Linked DNA regions of Caenorhabditis elegans. The protein of the gene in region 1 binds, or shares a complex with, the protein of each later gene. Each region holds a gene or a part of one and is shown in the gene's direction. Other genes may lie near its edges.

Evidence for each region.
Region 2: eif-3.L (region 1) and eif-3.E share a complex: the UniProt entries of both Caenorhabditis elegans proteins name them as parts of the eukaryotic translation initiation factor 3 (eIF-3) complex.
Region 3: eif-3.L (region 1) and eif-3.F share a complex: the UniProt entries of both Caenorhabditis elegans proteins name them as parts of the eukaryotic translation initiation factor 3 (eIF-3) complex.
Region 4: eif-3.L (region 1) and eif-3.G share a complex: the UniProt entries of both Caenorhabditis elegans proteins name them as parts of the eukaryotic translation initiation factor 3 (eIF-3) complex.

The regions. Positions count from the first base shown.
Region 1 is NC_003280.10:5,616,169-5,624,287, reverse strand, and holds eif-3.L (Eukaryotic translation initiation factor 3 subunit L), read left to right. Parts: upstream 1-1,806; coding exon 1,807-1,879; intron 1,880-2,490; coding exon of another isoform or gene 2,491-2,496; coding exon 2,497-2,623; intron 2,624-2,672; coding exon 2,673-2,946; intron 2,947-2,989; coding exon 2,990-3,157; intron 3,158-3,200; coding exon 3,201-3,554; intron 3,555-3,639; coding exon 3,640-3,809; intron 3,810-3,858; coding exon 3,859-4,096; intron 4,097-4,152; coding exon 4,153-4,365; downstream 4,366-8,119. Other genes in the region: npl-4.2 (Nuclear protein localization protein 4 homolog 2), read right to left, coding at 1-529, 577-768, 831-1,196, 1,248-1,391; dhs-6 (Hydroxysteroid dehydrogenase-like protein 2), read left to right, coding at 5,008-5,021, 5,070-5,241, 5,313-5,691, 6,227-6,440, 6,487-6,710, 6,755-7,008. UniProt on the Caenorhabditis elegans protein: Component of the eukaryotic translation initiation factor 3 (eIF-3) complex, which is involved in protein synthesis of a specialized repertoire of mRNAs and, together with other initiation factors, stimulates binding of mRNA and methionyl-tRNAi to the 40S ribosome.
Region 2 is NC_003279.8:10,638,364-10,645,829, reverse strand, and holds eif-3.E (Eukaryotic translation initiation factor 3 subunit E), read left to right. Parts: upstream 1-3,548; 5' UTR 3,549-3,554; coding exon 3,555-3,644; intron 3,645-3,712; coding exon 3,713-3,988; intron 3,989-4,034; coding exon 4,035-4,511; intron 4,512-4,566; coding exon 4,567-5,022; 3' UTR 5,023-5,307; downstream 5,308-7,466. Other genes in the region: tag-344 (Protein kinase domain-containing protein), read right to left, coding at 258-501, 548-858, 906-1,228, 1,276-1,380, 1,426-1,546; B0511.17 (DUF4283 domain-containing protein), read right to left, coding at 2,125-2,251, 2,686-2,801; cdc-26 (Anaphase-promoting complex subunit CDC26), read left to right, coding at 5,603-5,807, 5,853-5,911, 6,079-6,331, 6,376-6,443; mrps-30 (Mitochondrial Ribosomal Protein, Small), read left to right, coding at 6,874-7,434. UniProt on the Caenorhabditis elegans protein: Component of the eukaryotic translation initiation factor 3 (eIF-3) complex, which is involved in protein synthesis of a specialized repertoire of mRNAs and, together with other initiation factors, stimulates binding of mRNA and methionyl-tRNAi to the 40S ribosome.
Region 3 is NC_003280.10:9,329,049-9,336,685, forward strand, and holds eif-3.F (Eukaryotic translation initiation factor 3 subunit F), read left to right. Parts: upstream 1-2,594; 5' UTR 2,595-2,613; coding exon 2,614-2,766; intron 2,767-3,195; coding exon 3,196-3,710; intron 3,711-3,764; coding exon 3,765-3,903; intron 3,904-4,490; coding exon 4,491-4,568; 3' UTR 4,569-4,922; downstream 4,923-7,637. Other genes in the region: eat-3 (Dynamin-like GTPase OPA1, mitochondrial), read left to right, coding at 171-238; wbp-2 (GRAM domain-containing protein), read left to right, coding at 726-842, 939-1,317, 1,818-2,029; scp-1 (Sterol regulatory element-binding protein cleavage-activating protein), read left to right, coding at 5,005-5,078, 5,436-5,578, 5,622-6,053, 6,102-6,196, 6,246-7,203, 7,252-7,342. UniProt on the Caenorhabditis elegans protein: Component of the eukaryotic translation initiation factor 3 (eIF-3) complex, which is involved in protein synthesis of a specialized repertoire of mRNAs and, together with other initiation factors, stimulates binding of mRNA and methionyl-tRNAi to the 40S ribosome.
Region 4 is NC_003280.10:8,439,146-8,446,187, forward strand, and holds eif-3.G (Eukaryotic translation initiation factor 3 subunit G), read left to right. Parts: upstream 1-3,621; 5' UTR 3,622-3,638; coding exon 3,639-3,655; intron 3,656-3,701; coding exon 3,702-3,754; intron 3,755-3,875; coding exon 3,876-3,955; intron 3,956-4,036; coding exon 4,037-4,419; intron 4,420-4,507; coding exon 4,508-4,763; 3' UTR 4,764-5,030; downstream 5,031-7,042. Other genes in the region: lips-10 (LIPaSe related), read left to right, coding at 52-233, 1,391-1,571, 2,176-2,465, 2,664-2,856; evl-20 (ADP-ribosylation factor-like protein 2), read left to right, coding at 5,162-5,450, 5,501-5,631, 5,826-5,960; cut-3 (Cuticlin-3), read right to left, coding at 6,125-6,334, 6,380-6,992. UniProt on the Caenorhabditis elegans protein: RNA-binding component of the eukaryotic translation initiation factor 3 (eIF-3) complex, which is involved in protein synthesis of a specialized repertoire of mRNAs and, together with other initiation factors, stimulates binding of mRNA and methionyl-tRNAi to the 40S ribosome.

The DNA.
Region 1 (8,119 bases):
ATTGATTTGTAGAGAATTCGGATGAATATTGAATCAAATTTGCACCTCCTTGAAGTTGTCCAATTGCTTGTCGATTTTCAACATTAAATTTGGCACTCTTCGATTTATTAGATGTGCCAACGTGGAACGTGTAGTGAGGCTCTTTTGGCATTCCAGCAGGAACATCCACCAGCAAATATTCAACTGGAAGTGGTCGTCCGTTTTTCATAACCTCGGCTCCGTATTCATTTTTCATCGAAAATTGAACATCAGTTATATAATGTTCTTCGGATAATGGTGTCTCTCGAACATAAGCCAATTCAGGAGTGTACAGTGTTGGACAGAGAATATCAGCTTCAACCATGGCCGCACATTGATTTGAAACTTGATATCCGTGGAAATTAACATGCATCGATTCATCACCAGATGCAACAACGGTCACAAATTTGGATCCATAGTGACGATCCATCGAGTACTCTGTGATGTTTGGATGTTGATTTTGAAGCATTGCTGCGGTGATGCATTCCTCAGCTGATAGGAAGAAGGAATCCTGAAAAATTATTCGTTTTTTGGGCTTCTCTTCGAGATTGTTCTCACCTTGTGCCGTGTATAATGTACAGTTCCTTCAGCACTATTAGCTGTCCAACAATCTGTGAAGATCCATCCAACACGTTGCAAGCCAAGCATTTCCAGCAAATTGTCAATAGTTTTTTGATTTTTATCCTCCAAAAACTCAATTCCATCTTCACGGCAGTGTTGTGGAGGTTCATAAATTGCAGCCACTGTAGCCTGAAAGTATGAGCAATGAAATAACTCGTCTCAAGAAATGAGTGATGAAGTACTGAACTTACCTTGATTCCTAGTGGAACTTCAAGGTGAGGCTGATACTGTCCAATTAAAAATCCAACACGCTGATGGCCCGATAGTCTCCAATAATCCAAAAACTGATTTACAAGCTCTTGATTTTCAATTTGAATGTTATCAACATGACGAAACTTTTGACGATTCAATGTTACAACCTGTGGTTTGCATTTAGTGCAAATTCCTTTCGGGAACGGCTTGTGAGCATCACAGTTGGGTTTTAATGAACATCGAAAGTTTTCCAGCGGTTTTTTGAGAGTCGTGCCCTTCCCCTGGGATCCAAGGAGCTTGCGAACATGTGCATGGAAGCTCATATGCTTGATATCTTTTTCTTTCAAATATTCTTCATCGAATGGCTGTAAATATTGATATTAGTTTCTATGAAAACAACAGAAAATATCACTTACATCAACAGGCAAACAATTAGTGCACTTTTGACGTACAGGATGCCGACAGTTGGGCCCTTTTGGACGCTGAATTTGACCATCTTGCGTGCTTAAAAAAACATCAACGTCGTTGACACGCTCAGTTTGAGGGACTTCAATTACCATATCTGAAATAAAATAGATTTTTAAATGCAGGAAGATATGCCTTCTAGGTAGTGAATTGAAGATATATAATTTTGAGATTTTGCAAAAATAATGCAGCGGAAAGGGTATCAAATTAGTTTCCATACATATTCAAACATTAAACAGCAAATGAAATAAAACATTTTGTTTTTAGAATAAAAAATGTCATCAAAACTGCCTAGACAACATGAATGACGAGCAAATGCGTACACAAAAAACCGTGCGGCACTCTTGCGAAATCCCATGCAACGCTTGCAATTTTCTTTTTTCCATCACATTTTCCAATTCCTTTCATCAAATTTTACAATTAAAAAAATGTTTTCTCTTAATTTTAGCGTACCTTTTCGAATTTAGTTTGACATTTAAATAATATCAATATAAAAACCTTCTTTCAGTAATGTCTCGACGCGTGGAATTCGATTTATCCACTGAAGATCACTCTGATCGTCGTCGCACCAACACCTTTTCTTGTAAGTTCACAGAATGCTATTTTTCAGAATTGATGAATAAGAGTAAAATGAGTTGAAAAATGTTAAAATTTGAAACAGTTCGAAAAGACTGAAGACTCGGTCCTTTTTTGATTAACCGATTTATTTTAATTCGGCAAACAGACATTTGGAGAATTTGGTCTGAAATAATTTTGCATAAAAACTGCAGATTAACATTCCATGAGCAAAATACATAAAATTCAGAAAAACCAAATTTTCCAAATACTGTTACAGTGAAGAATCAATGCCAATTCTCAGAACTCCCTCATTGTATATGAAAATGACTACTTTTGTCATTTTCAGTGTTTTTCGGTGTCGAATATCCTCAAATCTCAGATTAAATGAATCACAGCTTTATTCATTTGAAAGAAATAATAAATGAAAAGGTGTTCATAAGAGTTCATAAGAAGTTAATCATTTAAAAGCCCGAGAGAGAAGTTGAGTATCAGAGGATCAATGATCGTGCATTGTGAAATCTTTTCAAAAGAAAAATTGATAATCAATCAATAGAGTAATTCTATAAACATATTTATGGTAGTTATTTAGGTGCTTGTTAACAACACAAACTTATCTCATTTCTTAATTTTTAACAGCTTCAGCCGATGAGGATGGAGTTCCAAATGAGGTCGCCGACTACCTGGTCTACTTTTCCCGCATGGTTGACGAACAAAATGTGCCGGAAATTTTGACTCTCTACGATCAAGCTTTTCCAGATCTCACCGAGAGGTAATATTTAATAATCTCAAATTGTTTTCTATTTATCTTTTAATTTCAGATTCTTCCGTGATCGCATGTGGCCCGATGAGAATGTTGTCGAAAGAATTATTGGACCTGGCAACAAGTTGTTCATAATTCTCTACAAGGAACTCTATTATCGCCAGCTGTATGCAAGAAATACTCGTGGACCACTCCTTGTCCATCGCTATGAGTCGTTCATGAACTATCAAGAGTTATTCTCTGAGCTTCTCTCAAGCAAGGATCCAATTCCATTGTCTCTCCCTAACGTGTGGCTTTGGGATATTATCGACGAATTCGTCTATCAATTCCAGGTAATATTTTTTGGTAGAGTTTGTACGTAATATAAATATTCAGGCATTCTGTCTCTACAAGGCTAACCCAGGAAAACGCAATGCTGATGAAGTTGAAGATCTCATCAATATCGAAGAAAATCAGAACGCGTGGAATATCTATCCAGTTCTCAACATTCTCTATTCGCTTCTATCAAAATCCCAAATTGTGGAGCAGCTCAAGGCATTGAAGGTTTGTTTAATTCAATATTATTTTTTTGCTTTCAACTCTACAGTCGTTCCAGGAAAAACGCAATCCGGATTCGGTCGCCGATGAATTCGGTCAATCGGATCTCTACTTCAAGCTTGGATATTTCGCTCTCATCGGACTTCTCCGCACTCACGTTCTTCTAGGAGACTATCATCAGGCTTTGAAAACCGTGCAATACGTGGATATTGATCCAAAAGGAATCTACAATACAGTTCCAACTTGCCTTGTTACTCTCCATTACTTTGTTGGATTTTCTCATTTGATGATGAGAAATTACGGAGAAGCTACAAAGATGTTCGTCAATTGTCTGCTTTATATTCAAAGAACAAAGAGTGTTCAAAATCAGCAGCCATCGAAAAAGAACTTCCAATATGATGTTGTGAGTACTTTCTAAATTTTTTGCACAATATTTGCACAATAATTGAATATCTAATGAAGACCCAATAATATTCTGCCGATTTCAGATTGGAAAGACGTGGGATCAGCTTTTCCATCTTCTTGCAATCTGCCTCGCCATCCAGCCACAAAGAATCGATGAAAGCATTGCTTCTCAGCTTTCGGAGCGATGTGGTGAGCGTATGATGCACATGGCGAACGGGAATATCGATGAATTCAGAAATGCTTTTGCTACTGGGTAGGAAACGAAATTAGTCAAGTAATTGTATAGTATTGTATTGTTGCAGATGTCCAAAGTTCTTGTCTCCAACCACAGTTGTCTATGAGGGAGTCAACCAATCGAAAGAACCACTTCTTCGTCAAACTCAATCTTTCCTGGAAGGTATTGAATCACAGATGGCGTTACCAGTTCTTCGTGGATACCTGAAACTTTACACAACACTTCCAACTAAGAAGCTTGCGTCGTTCATGGATGTTGATGATGAGCACTATGATTCGTTCATTGGAAAGCTTCTCACTTACAAGGTATATATAAGAATTTCCGATGATCTCGAGTGTTGATGTAATATTTTGAATTTCAGATGATCGTCAATGAGCTTGGCAAAGAAGCCGGACCATCATCAGCAGACGACGATGAGCCACAAACAGATATTGACTTTTACGTAGACCGTGATATGATCAATATTGCCGATACCAAAGTTGCTCGTCACGTCGGTGAACATTTCATTCGACATATTCAGAAGTTGCAAGAGGTTCAGGATGTGCTCAAACGACTCGATATCCAGAAACCATGATCCTTAAAAAGTATTTGAGCTAAACGAAACATGACTGGTTGATTTCCGGTTAATTTCGTTTAGTTTCACACCAACTCCCACTCGTTTGTTAACATTATATCTCTTGTTGAAAATTAAAAACATCTCTCCGTTTATTTATACCACTTTCTCCTGTTGTTGTCTTTTCGTTTTGGTCCTAAACTTCCTTTTTTTCTCTTATCTCCCAATTATTTTGTATCCATGGTTCATAATAAGTTTAGTAAATTTTTTTGGTTTTTCTTATGAAGTTAATTTATGATTGTTTATATTCTACGCTCATCGCAACTACTTCTCAATTTTTTCCGAATAATTATTAATCTCTCTTACGAGTAGTCTTGTATGTACAGTGATAGACTGTACTTTGACCTATAGGTCCATGGTTTTCACCTAGAACGTAGTCTTATGTGTATTCTCCCACTAGTTATGCCTGCGTCTCCAGTCTCGAGGGAAGATAAGTAGAACAGGAGGACAACAACAATCTTTTCCATTGATCCCGATTTTTTTTCCCGTTTGTTTTCAAAATTAAAAAAAATTATTGTTTCTCTTCTTGGCTCGCCGAATTAATTCTAAATTTCGGAGTTTCAGATTCTACAGTAATCCTTTGAAGACAGTGTCAATAATAAAATGTTCAACACTGGGTGAGTTATATAAATAACTTCCCGTATAATAAAGTTCTGATTCTACAGAAAATTTGTCGGGCGAACAGTTCTGATTACTGGCGCTTCTCGAGGAATTGGAAAGGAAATCGCACTGAAATTGGCAAAAGATGGTGCAAATATTGTGGTGGCAGCAAAGACAGCCACAGCTCATCCAAAACTTCCTGGAACCATTTACTCTGCTGCTGAAGAGATTGAGAAGGTAATATAGAAAATTGCTGGATATAAATAATTTTAAGGAAGTTTTTTTAAACAAAAAACAATTATTTCTAGGCCGGAGGAAAAGCCCTTCCATGCATCGTCGATGTTCGAGATGAAGCTTCTGTGAAAGCATCAGTTGAAGAAGCTGTAAAAAAGTTCGGAGGAATTGATATCCTTATCAACAATGCTTCAGCAATTTCACTTACCGACACAGAAAATACTGAAATGAAGCGCTACGACTTGATGCACTCGATCAATACACGTGGAACATTCCTCATGACAAAAACTTGTTTGCCATATCTGAAATCTGGAAAGAATCCGCACGTTCTGAACATTTCACCTCCACTTTTGATGGAGACTCGCTGGTTTGCTAATCATGTTGCCTATACAATGGCCAAGTATGGAATGTCGATGTGTGTTCTCGGGCAGCATGAAGAATTCAGACCACATGGTAATATATTTGAAAAAATATTCGATTTTTGAAAATCTCGAAATATTTTTAAAAAATACGTACAGTGAGTACTGTAGCTCCTAACTATCCGAAGTGTTAGGGGCTACAGTCGTTTTTCGGTTTTTTTTTGAAAATCGAAAAATTTAATAATATAGTTCTCTTTCGATGTTTCAAAAATCAGCTTAATATTTTGGCCATTATCCCTCTTTTTAGAAGAAATTTCTATGTTTTTTCTCATCATTATAAGCAAAATTAGATAAAAAATTTTATAATCAATTTTCTGAACATTTTTTCGATTTTTAGATTTTCCATAGAATCGAAAAATCGAAAACTTTCGATTTTTCGATTTTCACTGAAACACATCGAAAAATCGAAAAAGTCGAAAAATGCCACCATTGGATACAGTACCCCGTAAAGGTGCACATACTTTTGTACGTACCGAGTACCATATTTTTGTGTAAGAAATTTCAGTATATCGAACATTTATAATAGTAAAATATTAATTTTCATCGTTATTTTAATTTCCATAATTCAGGTATTGCTGTGAACGCTCTATGGCCACTGACCGCAATTTGGACTGCTGCAATGGAAATGCTTTCTGACAAAGGAGGAGAAGCTGGAAGCCGTAAACCATCAATTATGGCTGATGCAGCATATGCAGTTCTATCCAAAAACTCCAAGGATTTTACTGGAAATTTCTGCATTGATGAAGATATTCTGAAAGCTGAAGGAGTTACTGATTTTGATAGGTAATTGCTCATTTTCTGGATAATTGGAATTTATTAATTTTTCCAGATATGCATGTGTGCCAGATGCTCCATTGATGCCCGATTTCTTTATTCCTGCAGGAACTTACGATCACAAGTTCTCATCTGGAGCACAGATCGGAAAAAAGAATAAGACTCACGAAGCCGGAGTTGTTGAAGAAGAGATCAAACAGATATTCACATCTGCAAAGCGCCTGCTTAATGCTGATATTGTAAAGAAAACTGGATTCGTGTATGAATTCTTGTTAAAAGGTCAATTCCGTTTGAAATCTATAGTTCTATATGAATTTCTTTAGACCCAACTACAAAAAGCGAGAGAATCATTACTTTGGACTTGAAAAACGGAGAAGGAGCACTGACAGATAAGAAGGCTTCAGGCAAAGCTGATGTTAAATTCACACTTGCTCCAGAACATTTCGCTCCACTCTTCACTGGAAAACTCCGTCCGACGACTGCTCTGATGACAAAGAAGCTCCAAATCTCCGGTGATATGCCAGGAGCAATGAAATTGGAGAGCCTTCTCCGCAAGTTCACCGAAGGAAAACTGTGAATAACTGATGCATTTTGTAGAATAAATTGAAAACTTTGGAGTATTTTTTTATTTTTGAATTGGTTTTTTTGTATATTTCTTGTAAACATGATAATTTTATTTGTAAATTAATTTTTAGATATGATCTTTTGAATGAATTTTCAAAGTTTGAACCGTAATTCTAGTATGATGTGAGCCGAGATACTTAGTTGGTGATATTACCCAGACGCGACTTTTGCAATTTTTGCGCCAAAAATACGCAGCCCAGTCTCGACACGTTATTTTTCTGTACAAAACGAGTGGGCCTTTAAAGAGATATGTAATTTCAAACTAATTTAAAGAAAACTTTTCATATTTGTCGATTAAAAATGTAAAAACAAATTTTAACATTTTTAAGTACTTTTTGAAGGAACACACCTTTTCGCATTTAACAAACACGTGCCGTGTTGAAACCGGGCACCGTATTTTTTTAAAATTCGACATTTAGTAATTCTGAATTAACTAAAGATAAAAGTTTCATAAGATGAAACACATAAAATCAATTTACTTTAATCAGTGACAATCTCGTTTCCCGTATCCAATACAAGATTTTATTGTAACTGTAATATAATGAATTACAGTCAATAGACTCTGATCGTTCAACTGTCAAAAAATGTCATCAATATTCGTTCACTCTATCTGATTTCTTGTTTTCTGCGCGTACTATCACCTCATTTATCATCATTTATGTTATTTATTCTTTTCCTCCAACTGTTTTCTATTTTATTTAATAATCGACCTCACTTCCTTTTTTTCAGAATTCTAAAAAAGGTTTCTTCCATCTACAAAGTTCTGACGTGAAAGAGCCCAGAAAATCACTCTGGAGCAAGGGAATTGGATACACATGGGAACTTAATATAAATGAACTTAGACAAACTTAGGAATATACGTCACAAAGTGAAAGAATATCACGTCGAGGTGGCCGCCCGTCTACATAATTCGGTTTCACAGAGTTATTGTGTCAAAAAATAAACTTTATTATGTGAAGCTATGTAAAACAAAAAATAGCCGACAGAAAGTTTTAAAAAATCCTACAGGAACTCGGAAGTATTAAGTTTTGAAAATCCATCAGTTTAGACAAAAGTTAAATTTT
Region 2 (7,466 bases), on another chromosome or scaffold:
GAAGCCTAAGCCTAATAGTAAGCCTAAACACAAGTCTCAGCACAGCTCCCTTGCGTCACTTCCACTGTCTGAAATGTATCTGAAATGTGTTTCCGATTAATATCGAATGGAAATGTTCAATTGAAGAGGTTGTGTACTTTTCTTGATACACTGCAAAGGCATGAAATCGCTTTATGACAGACAAACTACAATCTTGTTTTAAAAGAATAAATCTACTAAAATGCTTTATTCACTGTCACAATAAGTTCACATGCCGTTCATCCTTGCTGTCTCTTGACTTCTTTCGGTTTTCCTGAGACAGGAACAATCGGAGTTGCAGGTGACACAATTCGAGTTGCCAATACTTTTGGTGGCTCATTGGGTTTCATGTAGTACGGTTGAGTACGGAGCCATTCAGATTCACAAATTGCTTTGTAGGTCGGACGGTTCGGTGCATGTGGCTGGAGAATCTCAAGGACCAGAGCCTTCGAAAAGACCGATGATGTGCAACTTTTCGGGAATCTGAAATGAGAAATTTAACTTGAGTTGTCTTTTAAAAAAAAACTACTTAATTTTATGTGCCAACTGTCTCTCGATCATTTTCCTTGGGTCACGATCATCAAATGGCATTGATCCAGCCAGCATTATGTAGAGAATGACCCCAGTACTCCATACGTCAACTGCATTTCCAGAATATTCTCTGCCACGAAAAATTTCTGGAGCCACATATGCTCGCGATCCACAGAATGTTCCAGATTTTTCACCCGGTTTCAGAATTCTCGAGAATCCGAAGTCGCCGAGCTTCACATTTCCATGTTTATCCATAAAGATATTTTCGCATTTGAGATCCCGATGCACAATGTTATAGGATTGCAGATGCTGAATTTATAAATTTAAGAAAAACAGTTTTCTGATATAAAACTTACAGTAAGTGCTGCAATAAGTTGACGAAATGTGAACTTTGCATCTTCCTCTTTCATTGCCACGATATCCTTCATTTTACGGAGCAAATCTCCTCCAGCACAGTACTCATTGACGAAGATGATGTGATCTTGAAATGAAATCATCTCGTACAAACGACAAATATTATCGTGTTTCAAGAGCTTGACAATCTCTTTTTCACGTGGCAAAAACTTTTTGATGTAGTCCTCTTTTTCACGAGTTGGCGTAATGTTGATGATTTTCGCTGCAACTTCGAGCTTTTTCTCTCCGAAAGTTGCGCGTGCCACACGGGAATAGGAGCCACTACCTGTAAATTAATGAATTATAAATTGGAATTAATTTCCAAATGATTACCGAGAACTTTCTCAAATTTGAGCTTCCAGACCTTCTCGAGTGTTGGAGCAAAAGCTTTCGTTTTTGGACTCAGTTCATCAGGTTCTTCTTGGTTCTCAGAAACATCTGAAAATTAGTTATTTTCTCTGAAAATCTGCATAAAATTCTTACCTGTATTGTTTTCCGTTGCCATTTCAACAATTTGCCAGAGAAATATGAATTCAAAATACTGCGAAATTGGTCGATTTTGGTTCGATGAATATTGATTAATAGATTTTTCTTCTCGATTCATCAGTTCATCAAGACATTTTCACGTTTCACGAAAGGTCACTTTTTTTTCGATTTTTCCTTGATTTCTCCGTAAATTTTCTTTGTTGAAAATGTTTAATTAACATTTTATCGGGAAATAAAAATGTTCGCTACTAACTATTTGCTTTCTGGCGCCTGTTACACACCTCATAACATGCCTAATTCCTATAATCTGGATTCGATAATATTATAGGTTTCTTTAAAATGAAGTCTTTGAAAAAGCATGGATTAGAATGAAAATATAAATAATATGATAATTTGAGAGTAATTGAATAACATATACATTTATAAAACAGAGGGTAAAATGGAGTAGTGCTAGTGGGGGACATTTTTAAAAATTCGAAAAGACCCAAATATCAAAATATAACATTCCAACTTGAAAAAAAAACTGTTTGCACCCAAAAAGTTAAGATTTGGCAGCTGGAAATCTACCAAAACAGTTTTGAACAAATTTTAGCGGTTATTTGAAAATTGAGATCTAAAAATTGTTTGCCTTTTTTATTTTGATATCTTGGTCAATTTCAGTGTATTCTGACATAACAGCAACTGGCTTAAATTGAATTAATAGTTATCGTTTTTCCATACAACAAAATCAAGGCATTCTTCGATAAAATTGACGGTTGCAATTTGTCCATCGTCGCTCTCAATATCCCATCCAAGTGTACAATCCAATTCGTCTATTTTGTATCTGAATGTTATTATTTTTCAAATAAAATAATTTAGCTTTTTTCCTTTAATCTCTACAGTAGATAGGTAGCAAGAATTTCTTCAATTAGTATGGCACCCCATCGTTCACGGTTGAGAGCTTATATCTCGGTTGTTTTCAAAAATAATTAACTGATGAAATATTTGGTAGTTCTTTTTATATCGTTTTGTAGTTAATAGTTTTATGATATCTTTGAAATGAACCGAGATATAACCTTTCAAAGTAAAGTAGTCTGTTGAACTAATAGAGGAAATACGGTATGTCAAGATCTTTAGAAACAATATGTGTAACCAAGACCCACAAGTCAAACTATATAGTCAGGTTTTGTTTCAACTGGGTGGCACACTACCCTCAAGAATCAGGGCTCTTCATGTAGCCCACTCGCCAGCTCTACGACAAATAATTTATATTCTCACTTGAACACTTTTGGTCTTCGCTTTCCATTCCACGGTCTGTGAATAATTCGATGCATTACTCCTTCATAGTTTTGAGGTCCATATGAATTGAATCGTATTCTTCGTAGATTCGGCATTCCTCCTGACATCAAATACCCGAATTTAATGTTGATCAAACCGAAATGGGGCAACCTGACACCACATGAATTTACGGTCTCGTCTGTTCCCAAAAATTAATAATAAAGCATTCTAAATTTTACTGTTCGCTTTTCTGTGCATTTCAAAATTTGAAATTTCATAAAACTTGTGTCTCTGACACATCGGTAAAATTTGGCACACTATTATTGAGATCGTTGCGGGACCCACTCGAAAAATTAATATGTGATTTTAAACTGACATTTCACAATTACAATATTTAAGCATTGCTTTAAAGCCACACAATGTTTTTCGGGGTGGGTCTCGATACGGGCTCGGGTCTTAATATCTTGTAACTCTTCCTAATCCCAGGAACATTATGATTCGTTCGTAATTTCTCAATTTGAATATTTTAAATTAAAAAACTTTTAACTGAAATTTTAGAACCAAAAAACTCCGAAATATTTTTCAAATGTCGCAAATTGCAGTTTTCGGTTATTCTTCTCGTAGTTCTACTTCTCGCAGTTCTCATTTCGCTGGTGGCTCGTGTTGGCAGGCAGTAGCAACGACACTCCGATATTCCATAGCGCGCGTTGTTTATCATTTCCTCCTTTCCCGGCGAATTTCTCCTAATTTCTCGATTTTCTTTCTGCAATTTCATTGTTTTTGTTTTATTTATGTTTTCCGTTAAGAAAATTGATTGGAGTTTTATTAGAACATATTACTATACTAATACGCTTATTTTACAGGTAAAAATGTCGACATTCGACCTGACTCAGCGCATGGCGCCTTTTCTCGATCTTCATTTGATCATTCCGCTCTTGGAGTTCATCGAACCACGAGGAGTAAGATTTAAACAATAAATTGTTGATTCTGAAATAGCTGAATTTATTTATATCAATGATAATTGCAGATTTACGATGAGAAATCCCTGACCGAAATGCACCGCCAGCTTTTGACCAAGACCAATATGATTGATAGTGTTATAGAGACCTACAATGGAAAACCTATTCCGGCTGCAATTGAGGCTAAGAAGAAGCAAATTATCAAGGAGAGAGATGAGCTGAAAAGCAAGGTGGACTCCGTTGTTGCCATTTTGGAAATACCGGAAGTCAAGGAAATGATGGATAACAACAGAGAAAGAGATGGAAATGTCCGTATTTTGGAGCATCTCACTCAAAACCACAATGTACGTTTTTGCTTTGCAGTTTCGAAAATAATCTTAATTCTTGCAGTTCACAGTAGACATGGTCGATACCCTCTTCAAGTACAGCAAGTTCATGTACGAATGCGGAAATTACACCGTCGCATCCGTGTGCCTTTACTACTACCGCAACCTTGTCAATCAAGCGGATCCAAACTATTTGAACGCTCTTTACGGAAAGTTGGCCAGTGAAATTCTGCTCCAAGAATGGGAACATGCTCGTGACGATTTGCTGAAACTTCGTGCTTACATCGATGCTAATCCATTCGACACGGAATGGGAACTTGTTACGCAACGTGCGTGGCTTATGCACTGGGCACTTTTCGTCTACTACAATTATCCAAAAGGGCGTGATGAGATTATCGAAATGTTCTTGAACCAGCAACCTTATTTGAATGCAATCCAAGTTTTGGCGCCACATTTGCTCCGCTATCTGGCTGTTGCCGTTGTTACCAGCAAAAGCCGCCAGAAGAACAGCTTGAAAGATTTGGTGAAGGTCATTGACATCGTGAGTTTAACTATTTTCTATATGAAAATATGATTAATTATTTGTTTTTCTACAGGAACGCCATAGTTACAAGGATCCCGTCACTGATTTCCTCACCTGTCTCTACATCAAATATGATTTCGACGAGGCTCAAGAGATGCTTCAAAAGTGCGAAGAGGTTCTCTCCAATGATTTCTTCCTGACTGCTGTCCTTGGAGATTTCCGCGAGTCTGCACGCCTTCTCATTTTCGAGATGTTCTGCCGCATTCATCAGTGCATTACCATAGAAATGCTAGCACGACGATTGAATATGAGCCAAGAGGAAGCTGAACGCTGGATTGTTGACTTGATCAGAACGTATCGTATCGAAGGAGCTAAAATTGACAGCAAGTTGGGACAAGTGGTGATGGGTGTCAAATCCGTCAGCATCCACGAGCAAGTCATGGAAAACACGAAGAGATTGACCCTCCGCGCTCAACAAATCGCCCTTCAATTGGAAAAAGGTCGTCAAGACAAAGTCAAGGCGACTTAGGCTTTACAAGTTCTTCCGGTTTTGAATGTTTTTTCCTTTTTCTTCATCTGATGCTGTTCTGAAAATTGAGATGTGGCAAACACGGAGATTAAGACTGTCATCTCTCAGTTTTCAGTATTATTTTTCTTTCTTATTTGTTCAGCTCCTCGGTTTTTTACGAGGACTACTCGAATTCTGTCTTTTCTAAACTTTCCTTATATCCCTGTTGTTTCTTTTTGTTGTCTCTGACCCTTCTTTCGTTAGTGCAGGGGCTGGAGGTTCGGTTCTAATTGGTTAAAATAATATATTTTCTCTTTTATCATGGTTTGATTATTGTTAGAATCTAGGTTTATGAAACCTTTCAATATATATTTATTGCCGTTGCCGAGAAATTGTTTGAAATTATTTTTTGTGAGGAAAAACACTTCCATCTGTATATTTTGTCATTTCTGTTGAATTTGCCTTACTTTTTCGCTAATTACAGAAATATTTAAGCCATAGGTTCGATTTTGCCGTTTAAAAATTAAATCTCCAAAAATACACATTTTCGCCAATTCACAGTTTTTATGAAATTAAATAATTTATCTCACTCTTTTTCAGTATGTCAATGTTACGGCGTCCATTAACACAATTAGAATTGTGTGAGGACGATATCCAATGGCTGACAGATCAACTGAACAAGAGGGTACTTCCAGCTGTGATCGTGCCAAAATGCGAAATGATGGATATTGACGAAATGGAGCCGATGGATCAGAGTGAGCCTCCACGTGGCATAACTAGGAGAAATCTCAGATCGGCGGATAGAAGTGAGATGATGATTTATTTAATTTTTCCTAACCTAGCTTTTTCAGAGAACAGAGACGTTCCAGGACCAAGTACGGGAGAGTGCACGCGTACTTCCATTGCACCGGTAATTTTTTTTTTTAAATTAAATGTTTTAAACATTACCTTTTAGAATCGATGTGAAATGTCATTCACTGAAGTGCAGGTGACATAATTTTGTGTTGTTGGTGTTTCGAACACTTATTTCTATTCACTTTTTCATATTTATCTTATGGCTATTCTCCGTATTTCCAGACTTTAACATCTGCTCGAACTCCTGTCGCTGCTCCAACTCTAACACTTTCGACGCCAGTCAACCCTGTCTCATCAGCTGAAATGTTGAGAGTTATGCCACCTCGTGTAGGTCGACGTCCACGAGCTTCTCGTTCTGGTGACAATGATTCGCCACTCCTCTTCAACGCTTATGATACACCACAGCAAGGAATCAATGACGAATCTCCAACACCCTCTGACTCTCCCGAATCTCCTAATGCTCATCTCTATGGTGGTCAATGAGTTGTTGGAGGAATATTGTCAATATTTTATTTTCAGCTACTCCCGGCAATCCTACTTCAACTTCTGGAGGACCTTCTTCAAATACACGATCTCACAGACACTAACAACTACTGGTCAGGGTTGTGTTTAGGCAAACGTGCAAAACCCGCTTATTTCAATATAATAATTCACTTTTTGATCTAAAATTGATTTAGAAACGTAGAAAAACTTTTAGAGGTCTTCTCAAGCTTTTCATTAAAAGTGAACCGTTTTATACATTTCTATATTTATCAATTTTTAATTTTTTAAAAACTTGGATTGTTATACTGAAATTCGCAGTTTTACACGCCCTGCTACTGATCTCCCTTTCAATTCCAACTTCCTCAGCGTGCTTTCTTCTTTTTTCGAACTAAATAAATTTGTACAATATTTGAAACAAATATTTCTGAAATGCTACATTTACTGTCATAGTCTGTGATTTTTCTATCTTTCTTTGTTTTTTGAAATTCCAATATTTCATTAATTCTTCACCAGCCCTGTTTCAGAAATTGCAAGATGCACGGGTTAAAACGAAGTCTGATGATCAGAACAGTCTGCCGTGGAAAGGCAACAACTGCAGGAGCAGATCTACCACAATCATCACAAGAAATCGAAGTTACCACCCCAAAATCAGAAAATGTTCCAGCCAAATCAGCGAACGCTTCAACTGTATATCGTCCGCCATACTATCGAAAGCCACATCAGCACCACGAGCCAAAGCATATGCTCCAAGAGGAATTTGTGAACGCTGGCGATGCATCTGGAGCAGGAGTTCGCGTTTTCGACTACTACAAGACTGCAGAAATGGTCCATTCAATGCCAACAATTAAAGAGAAAATTGATTTCGTCTCACCGTACGAGCGACCGTGGACCCGCGCAGAAAAGACATGGCGTAGAGATTGGCATCCAACGTTGATGGCAACACGCAAAGCTTGGGGAATTCCACCGACACCGGCACATTTTGATACTTTGGATTATTATAAATACCTTACAAAGACCAGAGTAGAAAATGAGTCACTTGATGATTTTTATCATGGATTAAGACCTCCGACAGCTGATTTGCAGACAAGTTTCCAAGTAAGAATATTTCATGAAAATATTATCATTAA
Region 3 (7,637 bases), 3.7 Mb from region 1:
TGATCTTCAAATTTTTATTAATGAAAACCTGGATTTCTCATGCAAAGTTATACTTTTAAAATTCTTTAAATTCCAAATGTAATGTAAATTTTTATAATTGAGATTCCATTTTCAATTTCAAAATGTTGCGAAGTTTCATTCAAAACAAAATTATACATTCTCCATTTCAGAACAAGTTCGCCGAATCCAAGAGAAACTCGAAGAGTTCATGGCTCAATTACAACGTGAAAAAATCTGAAATCTCCTCGATGTTTGATCAGCTAAAACGATTTTCTTAGATTCTAGGTGTGTGCAATTGTTTGTTTGTTTGTTTGTTTCTAGTTCTATTATCACATAGACTCGAAAATAGGTTCTCTAAAACATGTAATTTTGTCACTTGTTTTTGTAAGTTTTCATCACGGCTTTTTGGTGCTTTTTTGCCATTTTATTTTATTTTTCCATCCTTTCATTGACACGAAAATGTATAGCTAGTCTTTTGCCTGCCCTCAATTTTTGATAGGTTATCTCAACTTTGAACCGGTTTTTTTGTTGTAAATATGATCTAGGTCTCTAATTATTGTGCTTTTTCCCCAATTTTATAATTTTTTAAAATTTAAACGAAGATTTTTCCCTAAACTAACATTTTCATTTGTTTTTTTTTCGTATTATGCTTCGGTTTTTCGATAGAAAATCCGCTTCTGGGTACCTTTTTTTATCCTGCTACCACTTGTTTAATTTATATTTAGATGTCCATCAACACGGCGAACACGCCGGACGGACTTGGTGTCCTACTGTATAATGGAGAAACCATCGTGATTTTTGCACAAGGAGTAGTAATGACACTAGGAACCAGTGAAAATGAGGTAATTTATTGCAGTATTTTTTTCATATCTTTTAAACACCAAAAATCTTCATTAGCACAAATGCTGAAAATTATAATCATATTTTCGAATTTATAGAATTTGGAAGGACGTCGAACGGGAACCATCTACCTCACATCACACAGAATCATTTTCATGCCAGACCCTGGAGATTGGCTGAAATCATTTGAAATTCCATTCAACAGTATGCAAGATGTTAACTTAAACCAGCCGATTTTCGGAGCCAACTACCTATGTGGAATCGCCTCGGCTGTTCAAGGAGGACAAATGCGCGGAGAGGTTAAATGGAGAATGACATTCAACAGAGGGGGATGTATTGAATTCGGGCAATCTCTATTGCAAGCAGTCGAAAGAGCTGTTCGAATGAGACCAGAGAATGCTCCACCTGCATATTCTCCACCAATTGGAGATTTCTACTCTGCACCGCCAGCTTATTATCAGCCGTCGCCGGATCAAGGTAAGATTTTTTGAACATTAAAAATAATCCTGAATTCGAAATTAAAATTACCTAAAAAATGTTAAGCGTAATCATTAGAGATTTGTATGAATTTGAACATTTTTCACTTTTTTGAAAAACGAAAAAAAAAGGAATCCAAGTTTGAAACATTTTTTAAAATTTTTTAAAGATTAATTTTTAAAAAAACGAGTTTTTTCTTTTTTTTTTCGATCACTTTTTGTTTAAGAGAGATTTTTTGCTAAAAATACCAAAAATCTTCAGTTCTGGTCAGACAGTTTTGCAAAAATGAAAACGTGCTCTAATGCAACTTTCTTCCACCTCGTTGCATTTTTGTTTCACAATTTTGTTGATTTTTGAATTGATTTTACCATCTTTCTTTGGATTTAATGGTTTTCTTATCAAATTCGTTAGAAAAATAATATTAAACCGCATTTAACTTTTTTTTTATTTTAAAATTATTCCCCGGTTAATCCGATTAATAATAGATTTCACATTTTCAGGACCAAATGGTTTCAATCCAACCACCGATTCGTTCCCAGATCAGCCGAACCCATCACGAGTTTTCATGAGCTCAGCACCACCACCATATCCAGGAATCGGACCAGAACGCGGCCCACATCCAACTGAAGAACTTCATGTTGCTGGACAATTTGAAGCACCACCAGCTTATGGTTCAGGAGAAACAGCCGATGGATTGAGGCGAAGAAATTAACTTGTAAATTTAACAACAAAAAATGACATTAGAGAAAGTGTTTAGTTCAAAATTATGGGGAAACACGTAGAAAACAAAGCCAATTTACCCATAATTTTTTTCCGCATCGAAAAATGATTCCAAATAAGCTCAGAAGTCTAGTTGCACACAAAAACTATCTAAAATTCCACCATTTATTTTTTGTTTTTTTTTTTAATTTTTGCACGTCTCTCTAAAAATCTCATGTGAATATAAGTAAAAGTTGTGATAAAACTATAAACTTTCGGTAGACTAAGTCTATGCCCTCTCTCTCTTGATGCCCCCTCTCGTTCCCAGGATAAAGTATATATGTATAAGTGGAATTATATCTCTTTCTCTGATTCACAGAACATTTATTTTATTTTCTCTTTTTTTTCGTTGAAAAACACAATTTTTCTTTTAATTGTAAATAAATAAATAATTTAAAATATTTATTAAGAACTTTATATTTTTTATTGATTTTTTCAAAACCATTTTTCAGTTTTCAGCTGAATTTACTATTTTGATTCAGATTATTTCTTTAATTTAGTTTTTTTTTCAATTACAGGGTTCAGAAAAAAGTCAATATGGCTTCGAATTTAACTGTCAATGTCCACCCGGGAGTCTACATGAATGTTGTCGACACTCATATGAGACGTACCAAGAGTTCTGCGAAAAATACAGGACAGGAAAAGTGCATGGGAACACTTATGGGATACTATGAGAAAGGATCGATTCAGGTAAAAATATTTATAATTACAGAAAAAAGAGCCTAATTTTTTGAAAAAACTGAAATTTTGCAAGCTTATTGGTGTCTGGAACTGTATTTAATCTAATTTTTTTAATTTTATGTAAATACCATCGACCGAAAAAGTATCTAAAACAACGAATAAAAACTCAAAATGACCGAATGCTCAAGTGCTCACACAAAAATATGCCAAAATTTTGAAAAAAGTATACTTTCAGCTAAAATCTTCAATTTTGCAAGCTTTCCCGTGTCACAAAGGTCGGAACTTAATAATATTCAATTATTACAATTTATTGCATTTTTGTGGAACTAGAAGCAAGTTCTGGCCGCTGTAACCCTGAAAAGTTTGCAAAATGGATGATTTTCGCTAATAATATTTTTTTTGGAATTCATGATATTTTCTCCAATTTTTATTTTCCAGGTCACAAATTGTTTCGCGATCCCTTTCAATGAGAGCAACGACGATTTGGAAATCGATGATCAATTCAATCAACAAATGATCTCTGCATTAAAGAAAACTTCTCCAAATGAGCAACCAGTTGGATGGTTCCTTACAACATCTGACATTACTTCTTCGTGTCTCATCTATCACGACTACTATGTACGTGTCATCACTGAAGCATCGGCTCGTCGTGAATCTCCACCAATTGTCGTTTTGACAATTGACACGACTTTCTCTGGAGATATGTCAAAGCGTATGCCAGTTCGTGCCTATCTTCGCTCAAAAGCCGGAATTCCTGGAGCTGCTGGACCACACTGTGCTATTTTCAACCCACTTCGTGTCGAATTAGCTGCATTCCCGGGAGAACTGGTTGCTATGCAACTTATCGAAAAAGCTTTGGATTCCAGAAGAAGAGAGGCAACTCTTGAAAGTGGATTGGAGCAATTGGAGACGAGCACAGCTCAGATGATTGAGTGGTTGGAGAGAATGTTGCAGTGAGTTTTAACATTTAAAATTATCTTAATTGGAGAATAAACCGTGATTTTCAGTTACGTGGAAGATGTTAACAAGAACGGTGAGAAGCCAGGAGATGCTCAAATCGGTCGTCAACTCATGGATATTGTCACTGCCTCGTCAAACAATATGCAGCCAGAGAAGCTCGATACTCTTGTCAAGAATACTCTTCGTGTAAGTTTTCAGCCAAAAATATTTAAAAAGCGAGAAATGAAAAGTTGTGTAATATTCGTACGTGATTTTGAAAATTTCGAATATCTTGATCAAAATAGTTTTTTTTAATAACCTCAAAAAGTTTTTTTGTTGGAAATTAGTAAAGTTTATACGTTTTTCAGTTTAGTACAGAATTGTTAGTTTTTTTTTCTCAAAAATTGAGGAAATTAAATCTTTAGCTAAAAACACGAAAAATCTGCAAATTTAGGGAATGCCTATACATTTTCTGTGCCGCGCGAAACCCGGTAGATGTCGGGATATGATATCCGCTACCCTCCCGAATTTGAAATTAGCGTTTCCAATTTTTTGAAATTTATGCATACAATTAAATTGTCTTTATTATTATCTCAATTAGAGCATTGCACAAACACATAAATAGAAACTTGTAAATAAAAAACTTGTGAAACCTATCTTCTCAATGACCAAAAACCATGAAAAATGGGTGTATACTCATGTAAACAATATGCCCGCGAGAAAAAGCAGTTGACGAGAATCTAAAAACAAAAAAAAGCTAAACCTCTTCAAATATTTGTTTTCTTCTTTTTCAGGACTACGTGATGGTTTCGTACCTTGCCAAATTGACTCAAACTCAACTTCAAGTTCACGAACGTCTTGTGTCGGCCTAATTTTTGTTCTCCACACTATAAACTCGTTTTTGTCCCGATTTTTTCTAATATATTTTTTTTTGGTTGGCGTTTGTTGTTTTTCTTTCCATCCATTTATATCATCCTTCTTCCAATTCTTAAAATATTTCTCCCCATGTTTTCTATCTATCTGCCTTTTTTTTTTAATGGATTGTCTGAAATTAGTATTTGTTGTTTTCTTTTTCTCATAATTTAGCCTTCTTATTGATTTGGTTTTAAAGAAAAATCAATGTTTGAAGGTTTCTGATGATGATCACTTTCTATCGGATAAACCTCGTTGTTAAAGGCGTCTGATGGGATGACTGAATTGTTTTTTGCATGAATTTCTATATCTGGGCTCGGAATAATCTGATTTTGAAATTATCACTAGAGCGTTCAGATCTACATGAGAAAATAATTTTGAAAAAATCGATAAAAAATGAACGATCGAGTGAAAATTCGATGGAAGGAGGCTAAGGAGAGAATTGGAAACGCATATCACGATTATGGACGGTAAATATTTCGAAAAATTATCATGGATTTTAACATAAATCCGAAAAAAAACGAGTGTCCATGTACGAGAGATTTTGTACTACACTCGGACAAGTGTGCATTTTACAAAATCATAGTTTCACAGTTTTTGGCTATTTTTCCTCATTCATTTTGCATTAAATATATACTTTTGCATTAAAATTTTTGCATTACTTGTCCGAGTGTAGTATAATTTTTTTCGACATTCGCATGCTTTTTGTGTCCAATTCATCAGTATTTCTTAATAGTCTATCTGAAAATTTTTGAATAAAGTAGAAGTATAGTTCTTAATAATTTCTCTAGCAAAAAAACCAAGTTTCCGAAAATAAAATTTTTCAGATTATGTGCCGCCCATCCAAAAGCCTGCCTCTCAATGTCCCTTCTCACAATGATTGTCCTCTCATATCCAACAATCACACGTCTCCGTCTACCAGTCAGCACTCCGATTGATGTATTTTGGAGTGAACATTTACATGTTAATGGTAGAATATTCAATTAAAACCCAGAAAATCAGCTAATATTTAGACAAAATCGCCCCCTTCTGGATAAATGAAAATCCGGCATCATACATCCAGCAATTCATTGTCTCCACTACAATATCTCCATGGAATGCAACAGAAATGGGACCGGAGCATGCTGTTCGTGCGGCAATTGCGACGGCTTTTCGAATTCGTCAAATTCTGCTCGCAGAGCCCGCTGTCGAAGAACTATGCCTTCGGCTAGCAAATCAGAGACAAGACTCCTCATGGCCATTTCGTTCAAAATCACTCTGTGTTGTACTCTCGCCCGCCAGTATTTGGTACAATAATCTGCAAAAATTTCGAGAAGACGATGACACAATCACTACGGTTTTTAATGAGCATTGTAAATCCACGTTTTGCATGAGAGATTTGTTGTTGGGAGCACCTATTGCAGCGACAGGCATTAAGCAGAAATATCAGACGAATCGAAAAAGAAGTAGGATTTGAAAGTTAGGAAACATTTACTAATTTTGTATTTTTTCAGAAATCGAATTCGCTGTGACCATGTTTTTTGCAAGATATAGCAAGAAGGTTATTCAAGGAATAAGAGAGAAACTGCAAAAAGAATTTGAATTAGTTGTGAGTTTTGGATTTTACGTTTTCATTTAAAAAAAACAATTAATTTCAGGACACTCCGCCTAACGATCAACGAACATTTGTTCAGGTGTACTTCCATCCACTCAAGACTTTTTCAGATTATATTCCACTGATATCGACTTATTTCGTTTGCATGATCTACGTCTACTATTCTTCTCGTAAAATTCAAATGGTTGCATCTCGATGGGGACTTGCTTTTGCCTCTTCATTTACTGTTGCATCGACACTTCTTATGACAACTGGAATATGTGCTCATTTAGATTTGAGTACGACCACTTGGGGTTCCGAAGTATACCCATATATTGCATTGATTATGGGATTAGAGAACACTTTGTGTATAACTCGAAGCGTTGTTTATACATCTCCATCATTGGATGTTTCATCAAGAATTGCACATGGATTATCACAAGAAGGATATAAATTAACTAAATATTATATTCTAGAGCTTCTCGCGTTGCTTATCGGATTTTTAACGAGAATATCTGATATTCAAGAATTCTGCCAGTTTAGTGTCATTTGTGTGACTGTCGATTTTTACATGCAGCTCTTCTTCTATGCACCATGTCTGACGTTTGATCTACAACGCCTTGGGCTCGAGGAAAAACGGAAATTCGCAGAAATTCTACTCTATGAAGAGATTCCACGTCTCAAAAACTATGCACCTGTCAGCTGTCCGATGCGAAAAATCTGGCCCAAATTGTTCGTAATGAAGAAAATGCAAAAACGGCGAGTTTCGGATTCTGGTATAGAAGATGTGATGAAGAATGATGAACAACGTCGACTACTGATTTCATCTGAATTTGATTCAAAAGATGATGGAGATGTTCAAGAGCCAAGGCCTGAGGATAGTGTTCGAATGAAAATAATGTATTTTATAACAAGAACTCGAATTGTTCAACGAACTATTTTGGTAGTTTTTGCGATTTGGACTGTCTTCTTGGTTTTCTTTGTTGGTTCAAGACAATTGGGAATGGAGAGTAATTTGACGAGTAAGTTGTATTTTTTAAATGAAAAAAAAACAATTAAATAAAATTTAGATCAATCGATTGAAAGTCTTACAAGATCTCATCGAATTCTGTCAACTGCGAATTTGCAATACGGAAATTGGCAGAGAAGGACTTATAAATGGTAATCACAATTAACTTATAATTCGCAGTGTTTTAACTTATAACTCGCAGTGTTACGCGGTCTCGAAACGACAATTTTTTGAACAAAAAAAAAGTGCACTCCTTTAAAGATTACTGTAGTTTCAAAATTTTGCTACTGCGGAATTTTTATCGACTTTCAGAGTTTCTCGATAAATTTGTTTTTTAGATATAACTATGAAAACTAAATACATTTTTACAATTCGTTTTTCGTTAGTAAAACTATGCAAAATCGGAGAAAATTCTGCAGAAACAGAAGTTTGAAATTGCAGTACACT
Region 4 (7,042 bases), 2.8 Mb from region 1:
TTCGTCTCTTCAGTTTAGTCTGAACTCTTTTGAAAACTTTATTTTTCAAATATGCATCTATTCAAATCATCCCTTCTTTTATTGATTGTTATTTTTGGATGTGCTCATGCAAAGTTTCATACTCATTTTTATAATTTCCTTCTTGGGAAATTTGGAAAACCCATTGCTGATGATTTATTGAGACCCGATCTCGGAACGAAAGGATCTTTTGGTGGAGGCAATCCAAATGCAACGTGAGTTGTGATTTCTAAAAATGTGGAAATTTTCCTTCATTTCCCATTGCTCTCCCTTGACGGTTCATATCTCAGTTTTCTCAAGCAAGATTATTCAAAAACTGTTCAACTATGAAACTAAAGAAAATTATTTGGCATATCATACTTTTCGTAATATTACTGTTCAAAATGTTTTGCTAAAACCAACGTAAACCGATATGAGAGAAGTCAAAGTTGAGCAAAATGGTATAGGAAAAACACTTTTCGTTCGATTCAATGAAATATTGCTAGAATTTATCCTAATTCAAAAAATTTACTCAATTTATTCCAAACAAAATTTTAAAATTTTAAAACATTTGTATAGTCTTTTGAATACAATTTTTTATCGTGCGCTCCTACAAAAGCTTTCAAGATACATTTTGTTTACGTAGAGTTTAATGTTTCAATTATCTTATTTTACGAACAATTTTGTGAAGCTTGGTGACTGCAATCGTGGTTAGACCTACGTAGAACTTACCTTGACAGCGAGGTCTCATGATTTTGCGAATTTACCGTTGACATTTTCAAAATTAAAAATTCATGAATTTACAATTGCAATTCGACAAATATATATTTCAATTTCTTTCAAAGAAGACTTTTTTGAATTTCGTATATTCCAAGACTGGAATTTAGGTGTGTAATAACTTGAAATAATTTGTCACAAAAACTAAGTCAACTAAAATATTAAACAGATAGATCTACGACATTTTGTTGCAACCTATTATCAGAACTAGACGAACAATGTTCTAGTGACCGGCTTCAGATAACCAATGATCTGATGTCAACCAGATCACACCTTTCAAATCAGAATGATGTCATGATTTTATTTTTTGAAAAAAACACGAAAAAAAACAGTTGTAGTGATCGAAAGATTGCTACACATAGATGACGAGAAAACCGTGCAGTGTCACTTGACCTCTATAAGTGTAGCCTCCAATTACATTTTGTTCTCACACTGAATCAGTCATGACTTGATGGTCAAGACGATTCCGACACAAATATGTATGGTGGTTTGTGTTCGTATCATTGTGTGTGACGTCACAAATCCCGATTTCTGATCGTATCCTGATCCGAAACAAACGCAAACAAGATGGAACAAGTATTTTCACACACCCGTTCATAAAAAGTGTTTCTTTTAGGGGTCTTCCAATTGTGGTAATTCACGGGTTGGCTGGATACGCTGGATTATCAAAGAAAAGTTTATTGAACAAATACTATTCGTATGGGCAACCAAAGGGAACTGTATTCGCAACAACATATGCAAGAGGAAAGCTGATGGACTCATTGCAACACGGAATGCAATGCGATTATGTGTTGAAGGTAGGTGTAAAGAAATGATGGGATTATATAATAGACATGAGAAATCATTTTGATTTGGGAATTTAATTTAGACTCTGAAAACTACAAGAGGAACACTTGCAAAAGCTAAGATCAAGTGTAGTGTAACTATTGTCATCATCACCAACATCATCATCATTAAATCTAATCTTTACAATGAGAAAACCTCGCCATATCATGTCTCCGTTCTGACGCGGCGCCACTGGTGTAGTGAATGTGTAGTTTGTGATGGTCACAGTTAGACTGGCCTTGTGGGGGAATTTCTATAACTTCTGGGTTTGATCTCGTCTGTTAATATAGATAAATAGAGAACAAAGGGATGATCGGTGATCTTTCAAGACCCGATTGATAACGGCCGGAGTGACGTTGAAACGGAAAAAGGACGTGACCCGAAAAAAGAAGGGATTGTTTACAAACTACACAAAACACAGATTTATAATGACTGGTTGGGTAGACATCTTTCGGAAGGGATCCGGATTGAGAAGGATATTCTAAAAGAAAAGATGAAGGGGAATCTATAGGTGAAATAGGGATTACAATCAACGAAAGGAATATTGCAATCCAAACTGTAACTCTAAAATTTCAGGTTCGCACTCTCATTCTTGCTGTTCATGAATACACTCAGAAACCAGTAAACATCATTGCTTGCTCCATGGGATCTCCAATTACCAGAAAAGCTATTCTTGGAGGACACTGTGTTGATAGTGGAGTCAATTTGGGACGCCCAATTAATCATCTAATTCATAATTATGTTTCTGTTGGTGGAGCAAATCACGGAGCTATTATGTGCGCCAAGCAGCCATTTGTGAATGGAATCTGTAGTTTAACACATGGTTTGGATTGCCGTTCCAAGTTCTTACAAGAGATCAACTCACAGTAAGTTTCGCAAAAAAAGTATCCCAGCACAGGGAATTGAACTCATGCAGGTGTGCGTGAAAGGCAAAACTTTTAGCCACTAAGCCAGCAAGGCTTTTCATTTTTTGGGTATACTAGGGCATACTTAAATTTAATTACGTTGTTTTCTGTACACATAAACATTAATTTCATGATTTTACAAGTCAACATTTTTTTCAGGCCGTTCCAATACGGAAAGAACATGTTCGCCATTTATTCCGTAGCTGACGAAGTTATTGGACTCAGAAATACGTGTGGAGAGATGTCCTCACCATTAGAAGGAGCCACTTCAATCGTCAAAACTAGACTAATGCATGGAGCAGTTATTGGTGGAACTACAGAAGATCAATGGAGGGCTCTTCAAACCTCATAAAAACAAAATCTCACCAAAAATACTAATTGACATCAAATTTCACTTGTGATCTCTTTAATTTCCTTGTTTATATTGATTCGAACTCGTTGCTTTCATTCAAAACTTTGTGTGTATATTGTTCAAAAGTTTAATAAATCAGTACAATCGTTGATTAAATTGGTATTTTGAACGAAAATGATCAGAATGTTAAATTCGTCCAAGTGATCAAGTCCATCAGGCGACTTGTAAGAATTCTCATAAGAATAGAGATAGGAAACTGCTATATTTCGCAGATCAATCTAGACACATGATACAATGTTGTGATTTTCTCCGAAAACGAAGATATTTATTATTTTCTTCAGAAATCTCTTCCGATGAGACTGAATAATCTGTGAAAACCGGAGCGGCGGCGCCATTTGGCTTTTGGGCAATACGGTGCGCAATTCTGCAAACACATGATCCCACGCGCAAATGCACAGATTTCCCAATGCGTCGTTGTTTCCCAAATTTTCGATTTTCGGGATATTTCTACATTTTTAAAAGATTTCCAGCCGTGTTTTTGTTGTAGAATATTTTTTTTACATATTTATAGTTTGTTTTTATAGATATTTGCTAAAAACTATGAATCTAGTTGAATATTCGCTTATTCTGGAAAAAAAAATCAAATACTTTAAAATCTACATGTTTTGAAGAGCTGTTTCTTTTTAATTCTGAAGTTTGTTAAACCATTTATTTGAAATTTTTTCTTATTTTATATTGCTAAAAACATAATCAATAGTTTTTCAGGTAGTAAAGTTACAGCTATGACTGGCATTAACGCGTGAGTTTTCACCCTCGAATAATTATTTACGTAAAGAAAGTTTCAGAATGGCTCCCGCTCCAGAAGTTGTAAGCTGGGCTGAGGCCGTTGAGCAAGACAGTAAGTTTTTCATTTCTCGTCTTCAAGAATATTTACGTGAACTTTCACGGTTTTCGCATTTGGAGTGCAACCGCCTAACAAAACGAGTCATTTCTGTATGAACTGATGAACGCTTTTGCAGACGCCCCACACATCCAGGAAGGAGCTGATGGAACACGTACCGAAACAGCTTTCACTGAGGTTGATGGAGTAAGATGGAAGGTTTGTTATCCGATGGCCAAAAAATTCGCCTTACAGAATTCTCGAGTTATGCTCTAGAATTCTTTCAATTCCAAATTTCAGGTTGTGACACAGTTCAAAGTTATCAACAAACGTGTACCAAAAGTCGTCGCTGATCGCAAAAAATGGGTGAAATTCGGAAGTTGTAAGGGAGAGCCAGCAGGACCCCAAGTTGCCACAACTTACGTGGCTGAAGAAGTCGATATGCAATTCACAAGAAATCGCGCAGGAGAGCAGATTCTTGACGTTCAAGAAGACAAACAGACTGCTAAAACTACAAGCCGTGAGCATTGCCGTCATTGCAAAGGAAACGACCATTGGAGTACTCATTGTCCTTACAAGGTCATGTACCAATTGGACGAGGAAGCTGATGCTGACAAGGATACTGAAAAGGATAGAATGGCAATGGGAATGCGTCCTGATGGAAGACAAATCGATAGAAATCGGTAAGCATTCAAAATACTGTAATCTAAGTTGCCCAAAAAATCTTGATGATTGAATAATTTATGAACTATTTTTAAAACATACTTTCAGATCCGATGAGAATACATGCCGTGTCACCAATCTTCCGCAAGAGATGAACGAAGACGAACTTCGTGATTTGTTCGGAAAGATTGGAAGAGTCATCCGAATCTTCATTGCCCGTGACAAAGTCACTGGTCTCCCGAAAGGATTCGCCTTCGTTACATTTGAATCAAGAGATGACGCCGCCCGTGCAATTGCAGAACTCAATGATATCCGAATGTACCATATGGTTCTCAAAGTCGAATGGACACGTCCGAGCAACTAATCCGTTTTCTGATTTATTTATGTTATGCGTACTTGGATGTTTTCCCGCTGTTTGGTTCTTCATAATTTCGTAGCTAGTGTCTGTCTAAACTGAAAATTACTGTAGACCAATTCGATGTTTGTTGTTCTTTCCTATTGAAATCATAATTTTTACTTTCTATGGTTATCAGAGTTGGCAAGTGAAGTTTATTTTCACGAAGGCAGTTCTAGCTATGAAAATTGTTGGTATTTCCTTTTCTTTCTTCAATGATAAATCTATCTCTTCCTGGTTATTTTTTCGTTCTATTTTTCCAATCGAGTTGGGTTTCTGTCCAATGTAAAATATCATAGTTTGAATAAAAATCTGATGGCTAAAAATTTTCAAACGCAATAGAACATTTTATAACTCAAAAATTCCAGATGGGCTTCTTGAAGATTCTCCGTAAGCAACGTGCTCGGGAACGCGAGATGAGAATATTAATTCTTGGATTAGACAACGCTGGAAAGACTACTTTAATGAAAAAATTCCTCGACGAGCCGACTGATACAATTGAACCAACATTAGGATTTGATATCAAAACCGTGCATTTCAAAGATTTTCAACTAAACTTATGGGATGTTGGCGGACAGAAAAGTCTAAGATCTTATTGGAAGAATTATTTCGAATCCACAGATGCTTTAATTTGGGTGGTAGATTCGTCAGATAGAGGTAGAAACAAATATTTAGGATACATTCAAATTTATAAAAACTTTTTTCAGAGCGTCTTCTACAATGCTCCGAAGAACTCAAAAAATTGCTCGGAGAAGAACGATTAGCCGGTGCTTCTCTTCTAGTTCTTGCCAACAAAAGTGATCTGCCAGGGGCCATTGATGTGAATTCAATAGCACAGGTAATTCAGATGTCTTCAGTATATACTTCCGAAAAGAAATGCTTTCTTGTAAGCCTTAACATGTAGATATTTATATTAGATTCATTATTCACATGTTACTCTCGTAACATACATTTTGAAAATGAAGAAAATCTTTAAAGAGGCACGGAAACATAGGAACCTTGAAACTACTCAACCTATTAAGAATTTTCTAGGTACTCGATCTCCATTCCATCAAATCCCATCACTGGAAGATCTTTAGTTGCTGTGCACTTTCTGGTGATCGACTGGTCCAAGCAATGACATGGTTATGCGATGATGTTGGAAGTCGATTATTCATACTTGATTAAAATTGTTATCAATCAAACTGCTTTGATCTCATTTCACACTGCTTGTAAATATATAAAAATTATAGATTTTAATTTATTTTTCATTGAAAAACAAAATAATAAGGGCTTCAATAAATTATATAAGAAAATTGCACACCGAGATTTCGGTTGACATGGTTGGAGATTTAACAAGCTGATTGCATCTTGTCGGATGGCACCATCATACGGGATACGATCATATAAGTGATGAAAATAGCCACGAAAACGGTAAGACCAAGGAAGACAGTGACAACGGAGATATGGAAAGAGCTGATACACAATTCTTGTCGGAATGAATCTTCTCCGATTTCTCTCGAAGCTACGAGAGCTTGAGCTTGTGTGAGAGAAGATGGGAGCTGAAAACAATGAATGAGCAAATGAACACCATTTTGACAACTTACATTTCCTTCCAAAACTTCCAAAGTTGTGAGCTCAGCACGGACATCAAGAATATTCTCCATTACTGGAGCGGATCTCTTCTTCAAAACTCTGAAGAACTGAGCAGTTTGGTTAGCTTGCTTAACTGCTCCAAATCCTTGTGGCTCAGAGCACGTTGGGCGAGCACACTCCTCATTTGGTTCCTTAACAGTAATGGAAATCTGGCATTGATAGAAAAGTTGAGAACGATCAGCGTATTTGTAGACGTGAGCCTCTTGTCCAGCCATCAAATCAGTTGGATATTCCAAATTGTTGAGCAAGAACTTATCAAGAGCACAACCGTTCTCATCCAAAATTTGCACGGTATCACCATTTCCATCATCAACAGTGCAAGAGTGAACGACAGCGCAGAAAGTATCAACGGTTTCAGAATCACAGGTCCATTTGTGATAGACTTGTTGTCCAATAGTTGCGAATTGAACTGGTTCTCCAGTTGGTCCTCCGTTAAGAATCTCGTATTTACAGATTGGCATTGGAACAACCTGGGTTTGGAAAGCGGTGGTAAGATCAGAGACTTCAATTTGGGTAGAGACTGTCTTGTCGGCTTCCATGTAGAAGCATTGAACACGGTAGGCACTGGAAATTCAATTTGCATTTTTTTAACGAGAAGCTTCTAGTTGATATCA